3 linked regions of the Canis lupus familiaris genome follow. The protein of the gene in region 2 interacts with the protein of the main gene of each other region in a biochemical or structural test. Links are inferred from orthologs where the notes say so. Each region holds a gene or a part of one and is shown on either strand. Other genes may lie near its edges. The genes, in order: RFC1, PCNA and SPRTN.

Region 1 (3,725 bases), on a different chromosome or scaffold from region 2:
CTCTGTCTCTCATCTGTTGGTAGGGGAAGCTACTCCCAGAGAAAACAACAGATAAGTCCAAAACACGTTATGGCCCTGAGAGAGATCTTGCTAACTAGGTCTCCGCACCAACTGACCCCAAGAAACTTGATGCACAAAGGATTTTAAGAGGAACATGACTGTCTTTAACATAAACTATTAACAGCACAGGTAGATCAAAGCATAGAAAACTGAATAGAGTATTAAGTAAACCGACACTAGAGAAAAGATTTTTATTTATTTTTTAAAGATTTATTTATTCATGAGGAGGGGGCAGAGAAATAGGCAGAAGGAGAAGCAGGCTCCCTATAGGGAGCCCAATGCAGGACTCGATCCCAGGACCCTGGTATCACAACCTGAGAGCCAAAGGCAGACGCTCAACCTCTGAGCCACCCAGGTGCCCCAAGAAAAGATTTTTAAAAAGGTATTCTTGAATATCTTCTTTATCCAGGGCTTATACTTTCTTGAAGTTGGAATTACACATAAATTTTGTATCCTGCTTTATTCTAATAATATTCTCTCATAAGCATTTTTTCATATTAGACAATCTTTTTTTTTTATATTAGACAATCTTTATAAATAATTTTAAGGACTGCGTAATAGTCCATCAAGAGTATTTATCATAATCATTCTCCTATTGCTAGACATGGAGATTTTCTCCAATGTCTTAGAGTATCAAAACTAATATAGTATTTTTGTACAGCAATCTTTTCCTATGTTTAAAGTTATTTCTTTAGGATAAATTCTTAAAGGTACAATTTTTAGTTTAAAAAGTGAACACTTGGGGATCCCCAGGTGGCTCAGCAGTTTAGCGTCTGCCTTCTGCCCAGGGCGTGATCCTGGAGTCCCAGGATCGAGTCCCACATCAGGCTCCCTGCATGGAGCCTGCTTCTCCCTCTGCCTGTGTCTCTGCCTCTCTCTCTCTCTCTCTCTCTCTCTCTCCCTCTGCCTGTGTCTCTGCCTCTCTCTCTCTCTCTCTCTCTCTCTCTCTGTCTCTCATGAATAAATAAATAAAATCTTTAAAAAATAATAAAAAATAAAAAAATAAAAAGTGAACTCTTGTAAAACATAATAGAAAGGATTCTTTACATCCAGAATGCATCTTTATTTTTTGTTTTCCAACAATGTATAAGTAGAATTAAGAGAGGAGGAGGCCTCCCAAAAGTCCCTTGCTTATTATTACTCACATATCAGCTGCTGACCTGCCCTGGTTGCATTACTTCAACTAGGAGAGCCAAAAAATGACAAAAAAGAAATGGACTCTTAAGGTAAAGCAGAGCAAATAAAACTTTTGACTGACATCTTACTTACGTCAAGAATCTAATGTTCCTATTTCCCTATGTCAATTTACATAAAACATTTTGAAACCCTGAAAAATAAGGCTTTTTAAAAAATTTTTATTAAGAAATCACAATTGTGACCACAGAGTGATTTAATTTAGAACAAGACTTTATTTTTGCCCTAAGAGCCATATGTTTATCTGGTATTTCAAATAACTCTACGAACTAAAAAGCTATTTTGTTCTCTTTAACTAAAGCAGAGTCTGCATTTTAAGGAGAGCCCTGTGCTTACCTGTGTAGGCAGAAGACTCCAGTTTTGCTTACTCCGGATCTGACGGTCCACTAGGTCACCATCACATATGCTATCTGCTGCTCTGCTTAAAAGCATCAAGTGCTTTTTCATGTCGCCCCTGCATAAATAAACCAGTCTGGATTACACCACTGTCCGTATCTCATACCCCTCTTTCCCAGGTATATGGCCTTCGCTGTGCCAGGAGGGTATGAATTCTATCCCTCACTAACTCTGAACACTCACCCTGCAGCTACAGGTTTCACATGTAAGTAGTTCTCCTGGACGAAGAGGGGTGCTATTGAATAATCATGAAAAAAGAGATCTGACTTATCCACAAGTGACATGTGAGCGGTCTCCTCTCCAGCTGCAAACACTTTCCGGGCAACATCAAACGGGCCCTAAAAAAAGGGAAGGACACACCTAATAGAATGGCCAATGTCCAAAATACTGACAACATCAAATGCTGGCAAAGATGTGGAGCAATACGAACTCTCATTTATTGCTAGCAGGATTGCAAAATGGTATAGTCATTTAGAAGACAGATTGGCAGTATTTTTTACAAAACTATACTCTTACCATTCCATCCACAATTGTCCTCCTTGGTATTTATCCAAATAAACTGAAAACATACTACACAAAAACCCTGCACATGGATCTTTACAGCAGCTTTATTCGTAACTGACAAAACTTGGAAGCAATCCAAATGTCTTTCAAAAGGTGAATAAACTGGTACATCCAGACACTGGAATATTATACAGCACAGAAAAGAAATGAGCTATAATAAGGCCATAGAAAATATATGGAGAAACCTTAAATGAGTATTACTAATTCAAAGAAGCCAATCTGGGGGCCCCTGGGTGGTAGTTGGTTAAGCATCCAACTCTTGATTTTGGTTCAGATCATGATGTCAGGGTCGTGAGATAAAGCCCTGCATCATAGAGCCTGTTTAAGACTTTCTCTCCTAACCCCCTGCCCCTCCCCCAGTCATACTCGCTCACTCTCTCAAGAAAGAAAAAAAGAAAGAAGCCAACCTAAAAAGTTTATATACTGTATGATTCCAACTACATGACTCATTGTGAAAACTGATGCAACTAGAGACAATAAAAAGATTAGTGATTGGGGTGCCTTGGGTGGCTCAGTCAGTTAGGCGGCTGAGTTGATTTTGGCTCAGCTCATGACCTCAGGGTCATGAGATCAAGCCCTGTGTCGGGCTCCACACTAAACCTAAAGTCTGCTTATCCCTCTCTCTCTGCTTCTCCCCCCTGGCTCATGCTCTCTCTCTAAAATAAATAAATAAAATCTAAAAAGATTAGTGATTGTCAGGGGTTGGAAGAAGTGATGGATAAACAGGAGGCAGTGAAAGTATTCTGTGTGATATACAGTGGTAGATAAAAGCTTGATACATTTGTCAAAACCCATGGAAGCTGTATCAAGAGTGAACTAACCCTGATGTAAACTATGGACTTTGGGTGATAATGATGTAGGTTCAACTATAACAAATGTATCACTCTGGTGGGGGTACTGATAGAAGAAGAGGTTGCAGGAGTCTGGAGGCAGAGAATAAGAAGGGAAGTCTTTGTACTGTGTGCTAAATCTCACTATGAAACTAAAACTGCTCTTAGACCTCTAGTTTCAAGTTTCAGACAGGTTATTAAATGATAAGCCATTTGAAATAGATTATTCTCAAAGTTCCAAAACTTCAAAACATGAAATCTATACATAAGGGACTCTGAAAAGGCCATTTTATAACTACTGAAGCATGAATATAATTTAAAACTTCTATATCTCATAATTTATACATAATATATGCTAACAAACAGTCCTTGAAGAAAAATTAATCTGAACTAGAAAATCTTTTATAGCAGCTGTCTTTCTTATTATAAATATCCACAGGTTCAATAGGCGTTATCAAGGAACTATAATAACTACTTCTATTAAGTTAATATGAACAGAACAAGAAATGCTTTAGCTTGAGAAAGTAAATGGAAATTTATTTTACCAGTCTGATATCCTTTTTGGCTCTATGAGAATCAGCCTTGGCCTGGTCATAGGTTAGTGCCTTACTGCGTGCACACCACATACTCAGATTGTGTAAAACCTAACAGAAATCATAAATAAGACATGGTCAAGGTGAA
Region 2 (3,600 bases):
CATTGTGTATTTCCATAACATAATCTCTAACTCAAAAAATAAATGCAGATATAAAACAAGTATGGGGATCCCTGGGTGGCGCAGCAGTTTGGCGCCTGCCTTTGGCCCAGGGCGCGATCCTGGAGACCCGGGATCGAATCCCACATCAGGCTCCCGGTGCATGGAGCCTGCTTCTCCCTCTGCCTGTGTCTCTGCCTCTCTCTCTCTCTCTCTCTCTCTCTCTCTGTGACTATCATAAATAAATAAAAATTAAAAAAAAATTTTTAAAACAATATGTCATAAGAATAATCATACTAAGAAAACTAAAATTAAAGTTTAAATCTTTAATGATAAATGCACTATCCAGGAGAAAAGAGCCTCCCCCTAAATCCCCCTCCAGGGCTAAATCAAGAGGACATTAGGGTATGGCCTACAAATGATGATGCGTGTGCAAGCAGGCCCAACTGCTTACCAAAACAAAACAAGAAGATAAGATAGTAAGGATTTTAAACATCTCAACATTTCTTATGTTGATAAACCTCACCTGAATGAATTTCTGCTAACACAGCTTTATTTTTATTTTTAAGATTTTATTTATTTATTCATGAAAGACACAGAGACAGAGAGAGAGGCAGAGACACAAGAAGAGGGAGAAGCAAGCTCCATGCAGGGAGCCTCAATCCTGGGACTCCAGGATTATGCCCCTGGCGGAAGGCAGGTGCCAAACCGCTGAGCCACCCAGGGATCCCCTAACACTGCTTTAAAGTCTACTCTTAATACTCACTGGAATTCCAAGTTGTTCAACATCTAAATCCATTAACTTCATTTCATAGTCTGAAACTTTTTCTTGATCTACCAAAAGAAAGCAGATTGAAGAAAAGTATGTAAGTTTATAACTATGCCATTAATAAGCTTTACAATCATTAGGAACATTTTCTTAAGTTTTTCACAACTAAGAGAAATCTTTTACACTGCATTTAAATTTCCTCTAATATAATTTAGTAGAAGAGTATCACCTACTTGGAGCTTCAAATACTAGTGCCAAGGTGTCCGCATTATCTTCAGCCCTTAGTGTAATGATGTCTTCATTGCCAGCACATTTTAGTATTTTGGACATGCTAGAACACGGAAGACACAGGATTTAAAATTGCCACAACGTTCTCAGAATCGTTAAGATTTCTGACCCAATTAAAACAAGGAGTTACCATCTTTATTTACCAAGGTCGTCTGAGGAATTGGTGAGTGAGGTAAACTAATCCGGCCATTTTGTAACCCAATTTGGCAGTATTTATTCTTAAACAGGCACACAGCCTACCATGAGCAATTTCACTTCTAGATACAAATAAAAGAGCAGCATTTCACGCATTGCAAATTGCAAATCCCTTTGGTGCGCGAAGCAAATTATTGGGTCCTGACGGTCAAGAAAAATGAGCTAAGATACTTATTAATACACACTGCATGCAGTCGAGGTCAACTATTTCTCATAAGCCTCATATTTGAACATGTTTTTGGAAGGCGGGGTGGCTCAGTGGTTGAGCGCCTGCCTTTGGCTCACGTCGTGATCCCGGGGTCCTGGGATGGAGTCCCACATAGAGCTCCCTATGTGGAGCCTGAGGGAGCCTGCTTCTCCCTCTGCCTGCGTCTCTCACGAATAAATAAAATCTTTAAACATGTTCATGTACTAGACATGTAGTGATCAAAGAGTTGAAAGCCACTGCCCTGGAGAAATTTTAAGTCCAGGAACTTAGGGTGCTCACTGCAACTTCCTAATAATAAAGGACCAGAATCAACCGATGGTCCCTAGGTAGGGTGACGTAACTCGGGCACATTATAAAGCGGTTAAAGGCAGTCAAGCCAAAGGGTTCTCATCCAAGGCCGCCGGCACTTAGTGGCCAAGGTGCTGTGTAAGTCTTTTCCCGGCACCACGAAGAAGCCCGTCATTTTCCCGCCACCACCCGCTTTGTGACTTTGGCGCGGAAAACGCCGGTTCGCGCGGCTGCCAGCGCGGGCTTTCGGAACCGCGCGCTCCGCTAGATCCCGCCCCTGGGCGCCGCAGGCCAATGAGAAGGCGCGGGTCGCCCACGCCAGCCAATGAGGACCTAGCTCGCAGGCGCTCCCGCCAAGAGCCGGAGGTGGGGGTGCGAGAGAGCCCGGCCCTTGGCGACCCCAGGGGCTCACCTGGTGAGGTTCACACCCATGGCCAAGTTGCGGTCGCAGCGGTACGTGTCGAAGCCCTCGGAGCGCAGAGTGAGCTGCACCAGGGAGACGTGGGAGGAGTCCATGCTCTGCAGGTTTACGCCGCTCGAGCTGATGTCCCAGCAGGCCTCGTTGATGAGATCCTTAAGCGCCTCCAGCACCTTCTTCAGGATGGAGCCCTGGACCAGGCGCGCCTCGAACATGGTGGCAGAGTCACAACGACACAGCTGCAGGCGGAGACGAAGAGGAAGTTGTAGCCGGCTTGGCGTCACGGGGTACGAGCGAGCTGGCGAACGCAGCGGCGAGGGCCGGGGAGCCGGGACGATCACCGCCCGCCCGCTCCGCCTGCAACCGTTTAATAGCGCCGCGTCTGCTGGCGCGCGCGCTCCGCCTCTGCGCCGCGCGTGGCGCGTCACCACGTTGCCCCGCCCACTCCCTGGCGGACGGACTCCGGGGCCAATAGTGTCCTTGGCCTCCGCTCCAGCCCGTCCTCCCTGAACGTCCACTGAAGGGTCGGCCGCAGGGGCGGGGCAGGGGCGGGGCAGGAGCGGGGCGCCTCCGCCTCCCGCGGGACTGCCTTCTCCACCCCGCTCGCGACGCCGGGCGCTGAACAAGTCTGGGCTTGTGACGGCCAGACCCAGGTTGGGGTTCTTTGAGTTACAGCCTTGTGCTGCCTCCTCAACCTCCCGCTTCAGGACTAGAAAGGCTTTGGCCGTGAAAGTGAAAGGCAAATCCAGCCCACCGGGAGGAAGACGCCTGGCGGCCCGAGGAATACAGCTGTTTTAAAAGTGCATTTTATTTTTGCTATCGTAGAAGTGATGTGTTGATAAATGTTGCTAAGCTGACCACTGAAAGATTGCAATCTACAATATTTTCCTAAATACAGATATCAGCAATCTTGTTTTAAAAATCTAAGCTTATTTGCGTGAAAATTCTGATCTGCATATTAAAAACTTGTTACAGGGGGCACGTGGGTGGTTCAGTCAGTGGAGCCTCTGCCTTTGGCTCAGGTCATGACCCCAGGGTCCTGAGATCTAGATCCAAGGTTGGCTCCTGGCTCCGGGAGGAGTCTGCTTCTACCTCTCCTTCTCCCTCTGCCCCTCCCCAATATGTTTTCTCTCTCAAATAAATAAGATTTTAAATATTTTATTTACTCATGAGAGATACAGAGAGGCAGAGACGTAGGTAGAGGGAGAAGCAGGTTCCCTGCACAGAGCCTGATGCAGGACTCAATCCCAGGACCCCGGGATCAGGCCCTGAGCCAAAGGCAGATGTTCAACCACTGAGCCACTCAGGTGTCCCCATTTGTAAATTTTTTTTTTTTTTTTTTTAAGATATTCGTGAGAGACACACAGAGACAGAGAGAGGCAGAGACACAGGCAGAGGGAGAAGCAGGCTCCATGCAGGGAGCCCGACGTGGGACTC
Region 3 (3,825 bases), on a different chromosome or scaffold from region 2:
TCATGAAGTTAAAACCACACTCAAGCACCCCAGGGTGGCAGAGACGTAACAGAAACAGTGATTACCCTCAGGGGTTGTGGCTGCAGACTAGGAAGCGTGCGGACACGAATGCAGGAGGTGCACTGTTCCCTCCCTGACCCGAGGCTGCCGTCACCCAGGAGCACCAAGGCCAAGTTCACACAGAGGAGCTGGCACCTCGGGTAGGTGGAGGTCATGTCGCAACATAGCTCAGGAGAAAGAAAACCTGTGAATTCAACTCTTGGGACCAGGCCAACATGCTAGTGGTACAGCCATGAGAAAGTGAACGGACGAAAGGATCTTGGTCTCTGCCACAACACAGTAAGAATGTTTTTAAAAAGAAATTACTTTTTAAAATGCACAAATGGTATTCCTTTTTATTTTAACGGTTACAACTTTGGCTTAAGGTTCATAATACTGTTTCCAGACAGTGTTCCACTGTTAACATAAAAGAGGCTGTTGTGATGTGACTTACACCAGCTCCTTAGCAGGTGAACCACTCATCTGGCTACATCTTGAGAAAACCACTCAACTCTGGCCTACAGGATTGCAGGAGTAGTCGTCTAAAACGTTTATTTGACTATATTCCTTCTATGCTTTAACCTAAAACCAGCTGCCACCTTTTAGTGATGACAGAAATAAAATTCTTGGAGATGTATAAAATATATTTCCTGCTGAGATTAAAAAAAGAAACCAAAAAACAAAAAACTTTGAGTACCCTACAACAACTGATATACTTTGTCCTCGAAATTGTAATTTTGGCCAATGTTTAGCTTCAGTTCTATGACTGAGTTTTAATATGAACAAAGAAATACTCAGTTTAACCAAATACCTGTCAGGATTCCAATGTATTTTGAGGAAAGGTATATAAATAAAAAGATTAACAGATTTAAATGCAATTTAAGAGCAAGGAAGAACATAAGTATCTAAAAACTATACATGTACACATGCAGAACAAACTCTGAGCTACAGGATACACAAGGCAAAAGTGAATATAGCACCTTTCGACATAGAATATTTTCCATTGCAACCTCATGTATATATCTATAAAATAGAACTACATTAAAACCTACAAATCTTCATGTTCACCAGAACTTCCTGAGTGGCTGACACTATGTTAGCAGGGTAATATAGGTGGCATGTGACACCCATTTGTCTTTCAAAGACTTCTTCAACTTTTGACTTTGATGCTACCACCTTCAAGGCACCAGTCCAAGTGCTCATTAATCTGAGACTCCAACACTTCATTCTGACAAACAGGACAATCGACCATCCTGTTCTGGCTGGATGCACTGCTGGAATCCTGAGTTGCAGCTGTAGGATGTGAACTCCACTTTGGATCATTTCCACCACTTTGTACTTGCTCTTTCTTGATAAAAAAATTGTCAAAAACAGTCTTGTCTTCTAGCCTGGGTCGTTTACTTGGGAGTTTCTCCTCAGGCCCACTCACATCCTGGGGTGCAGTCACAGATGTTGATTCCGGTGCTTTTAAAGAATTTCTCAGGGATATCTTAGAAGAGGTGACCCTTTTGTGAGATCCAGAAGAGATGGAGTTTTTAGTGATGTCACCGGTTGTTAGGCTTTTTGTTGGAGATCCATTCACACTTCGGAAGGTCTTTTGGTTGGCAACTGAGACCCTAGGAAAGTAGTTGCTTAAGACATTTTGGTGACTGGCAGTAAGAATAGGGGACACTAGAGGAGTTTTTTTACTTGAACCATTCTGTTCAAATTTCACCTCAATTTTAGAATTGGGTCTGAGAGCTTTTGCTGAATGGTCTTGACTTAAAAGATCTTGGGTTTTATTAATAGCATACGAAGTAACAAACTTTCCCGATGAAGGCGAGTTGCTCGTTTCTCCTAGAACATATCCTTTCCCACTGAAAGGGATCAACAGCTGGGTCTCACCTCTGTTAGATTTATCTACAAAAGAAGCAAAAGTTCTCTTGACTCGAAATTAATACAGTAACAAGTGTTAAGCTAATGAGCTTGGGAGAAGGACGTATCTACAGTGGTCAGGGGGCTCAGGGAGGGAGAGAACACAAAAAATAAAAATCTAGCATCCCAAGCCCACTAGCAAAGGAACTTGTACCTTGAAAATCACTTAGCATTCTTCAAGTTTAGTTCCAGAGGGAAAAGTCTCCTCCCACATTCTTTTCTTTCCCCCTACTCACACAGAATGGGGATCTATAACCTCTCCACATAAATTCTTCTCTAGCTCCTCTACTCACTCACCATTTTTGAATTTAGGAAAAGTAGCTTATTATTAATGTTTCTGGATCCAACCAACAATTTCCCAAGGGAAGAAGTCTTAACTTTAGTGACCTGGTTCCCTCTTCAAAAGGCAGGGACTCTGAACTTCATAGGAAAGGGATAAATCTCAAAGATGAAGTACCAGCACATACATGTCATATCCTTTTCCCATTCTTCTCCCAATGAAAATACATACATCAACAGCAGAAGTCACTCGGCTAGAAGCCAACTGATAGGAAGGGGTGGGTTAGGAGTAATTCCGGGCATTGTTATTTGAATTACTGTTTTTATTTTGACAATCATTTTGCCTTCTGTTTCCCAATGACTCAGTGAGTCAAGATAGGGAAAGGGCCTTTACCTAACTCCAATATTATCCGTGAACACAATTTCTACTTTAACTCACACTACGCAAAGTACATTTTTCTACCATCACTTCACAAACAATGGGATTTGTTTAAATCCACACTTACAAATGTCTATACTTGAAATAATCCTTAAGCTCATCTTAACACCAGTTCTCCAGAGGACAGCCCTGGCTTTTATACTGTTAGCTGTGGTCCCAGCAAGCATGGAAGAGCAGACAAAGTTACCTTTATTTTCAGCTGCTGTTGGCTGCTTTCCTACTTTTGTCTTTCCTTTGCCCTTTTTTGAGTAATTCTCTGGTTCCTTGATTTTGATGTAGGTGCCGCCACAGGTCTTCTGGTGCTCAGCCCACCAGTAGTCATGCACAGAGGGTGCCCTGTTGGTGGCACGTTTGACATAACCGTAGTAGGGTTTCTTGTACTGACAAGGCCCATTGCAGCGCCACCAGTGTCGCCGGTACTCATCCACCTCATCGTGGAAAGTATGGTACACCTGGGTTGAGAGAAAGTGCTCAGTGTTAAAGAGGCAAAGTTAACAATTTTAAAAAAATACAGAAGCAGCCTTCCTGTGTTTAAACTTTCCAGTTTCTGAGAGCTCTCTGCAATGACACTTTGGAGAAGGCAGCAAACAGATTTAGCTTCTGTTCCCAAAGTTCATTTTAATGGGACAGCAGCAGTTAATAATACTTCAAAAACTGTGTAAAGATAGAAAGATGTGAGATTAGAAAACAAAAAACTTTTTAGCCCACAAAAGCCTGTCAATGCTAAAAGTTTTAGAAACCAAATTTTAAAATGATCAAAAATCAGGATAAACCAAATTTTAAAATGATCAAAAATCAGGATAAAGACAAAATTTTATATAATGCCATAATAAATAACAATTATTCCTTCCTACTGTTCAACTGAAATTTTCCCCTGTAAGTAACAATACCAAAGGATTCTGGACTATTTCCTAGAAATGCTCAACCCCACCTACACAAGCATTTTGCCTGATGCAGTCTCTGCTACACCCACTCCACATTCTCAAAGGTCTTTGCCCCCTTGTCTTTGTAATGAGCCTCATGGGGGCATCATTCTACCTGCTTATGGCAAAAAGCTCCCCAGGATTCAAAGGATCTTTTGTTTTTTTTTTTAAGCTTTGAGAGAGAGAGCAGAGACAGAAAGCATGAGTGGGGGTGAGGGGCAGAAGGAGAGG

The links.
Region 1: the proteins of PCNA (region 2) and RFC1 form a complex in vitro, tested with the Homo sapiens proteins (5 studies listed by BioGRID, with this or other methods). The link is inferred for Canis lupus familiaris from reciprocal best matches to the Homo sapiens genes PCNA and RFC1.
Region 3: the proteins of PCNA (region 2) and SPRTN form a complex in vitro, tested with the Homo sapiens proteins (4 studies listed by BioGRID). The link is inferred for Canis lupus familiaris from reciprocal best matches to the Homo sapiens genes PCNA and SPRTN.

What each region holds. Positions count from the first base shown.
Region 1 is NC_049224.1:73,697,538-73,701,262, reverse strand, and holds part of RFC1 (replication factor C subunit 1), read right to left. Parts: intron 3,689-3,725; coding exon 3,590-3,688; intron 1,989-3,589; coding exon 1,834-1,988; intron 1,726-1,833; exon of another isoform or gene 1,709-1,725; coding exon 1,591-1,708; exon of another isoform or gene 1,559-1,590; intron 1-1,558. UniProt on the Homo sapiens protein: Subunit of the replication factor C (RFC) complex which acts during elongation of primed DNA templates by DNA polymerases delta and epsilon, and is necessary for ATP-dependent loading of proliferating cell nuclear antigen (PCNA) onto primed DNA.
Region 2 is NC_049245.1:16,928,870-16,932,469, reverse strand, and holds the start of PCNA (proliferating cell nuclear antigen), read right to left. Parts: upstream 2,575-3,600; 5' UTR 2,379-2,574; coding exon 2,158-2,378; intron 1,098-2,157; coding exon 1,000-1,097; intron 832-999; coding exon 764-831; intron 1-763. UniProt on the Homo sapiens protein: Auxiliary protein of DNA polymerase delta and epsilon, is involved in the control of eukaryotic DNA replication by increasing the polymerase's processibility during elongation of the leading strand.
Region 3 is NC_049225.1:8,499,006-8,502,830, forward strand, and holds the end of SPRTN (DNA-dependent metalloprotease SPRTN), read right to left. Parts: intron 3,124-3,825; coding exon 2,859-3,123; intron 1,939-2,858; coding exon 1,190-1,938; 3' UTR 367-1,189; downstream 1-366. UniProt on the Homo sapiens protein: DNA-dependent metalloendopeptidase that mediates the proteolytic cleavage of covalent DNA-protein cross-links (DPCs) during DNA synthesis, thereby playing a key role in maintaining genomic integrity.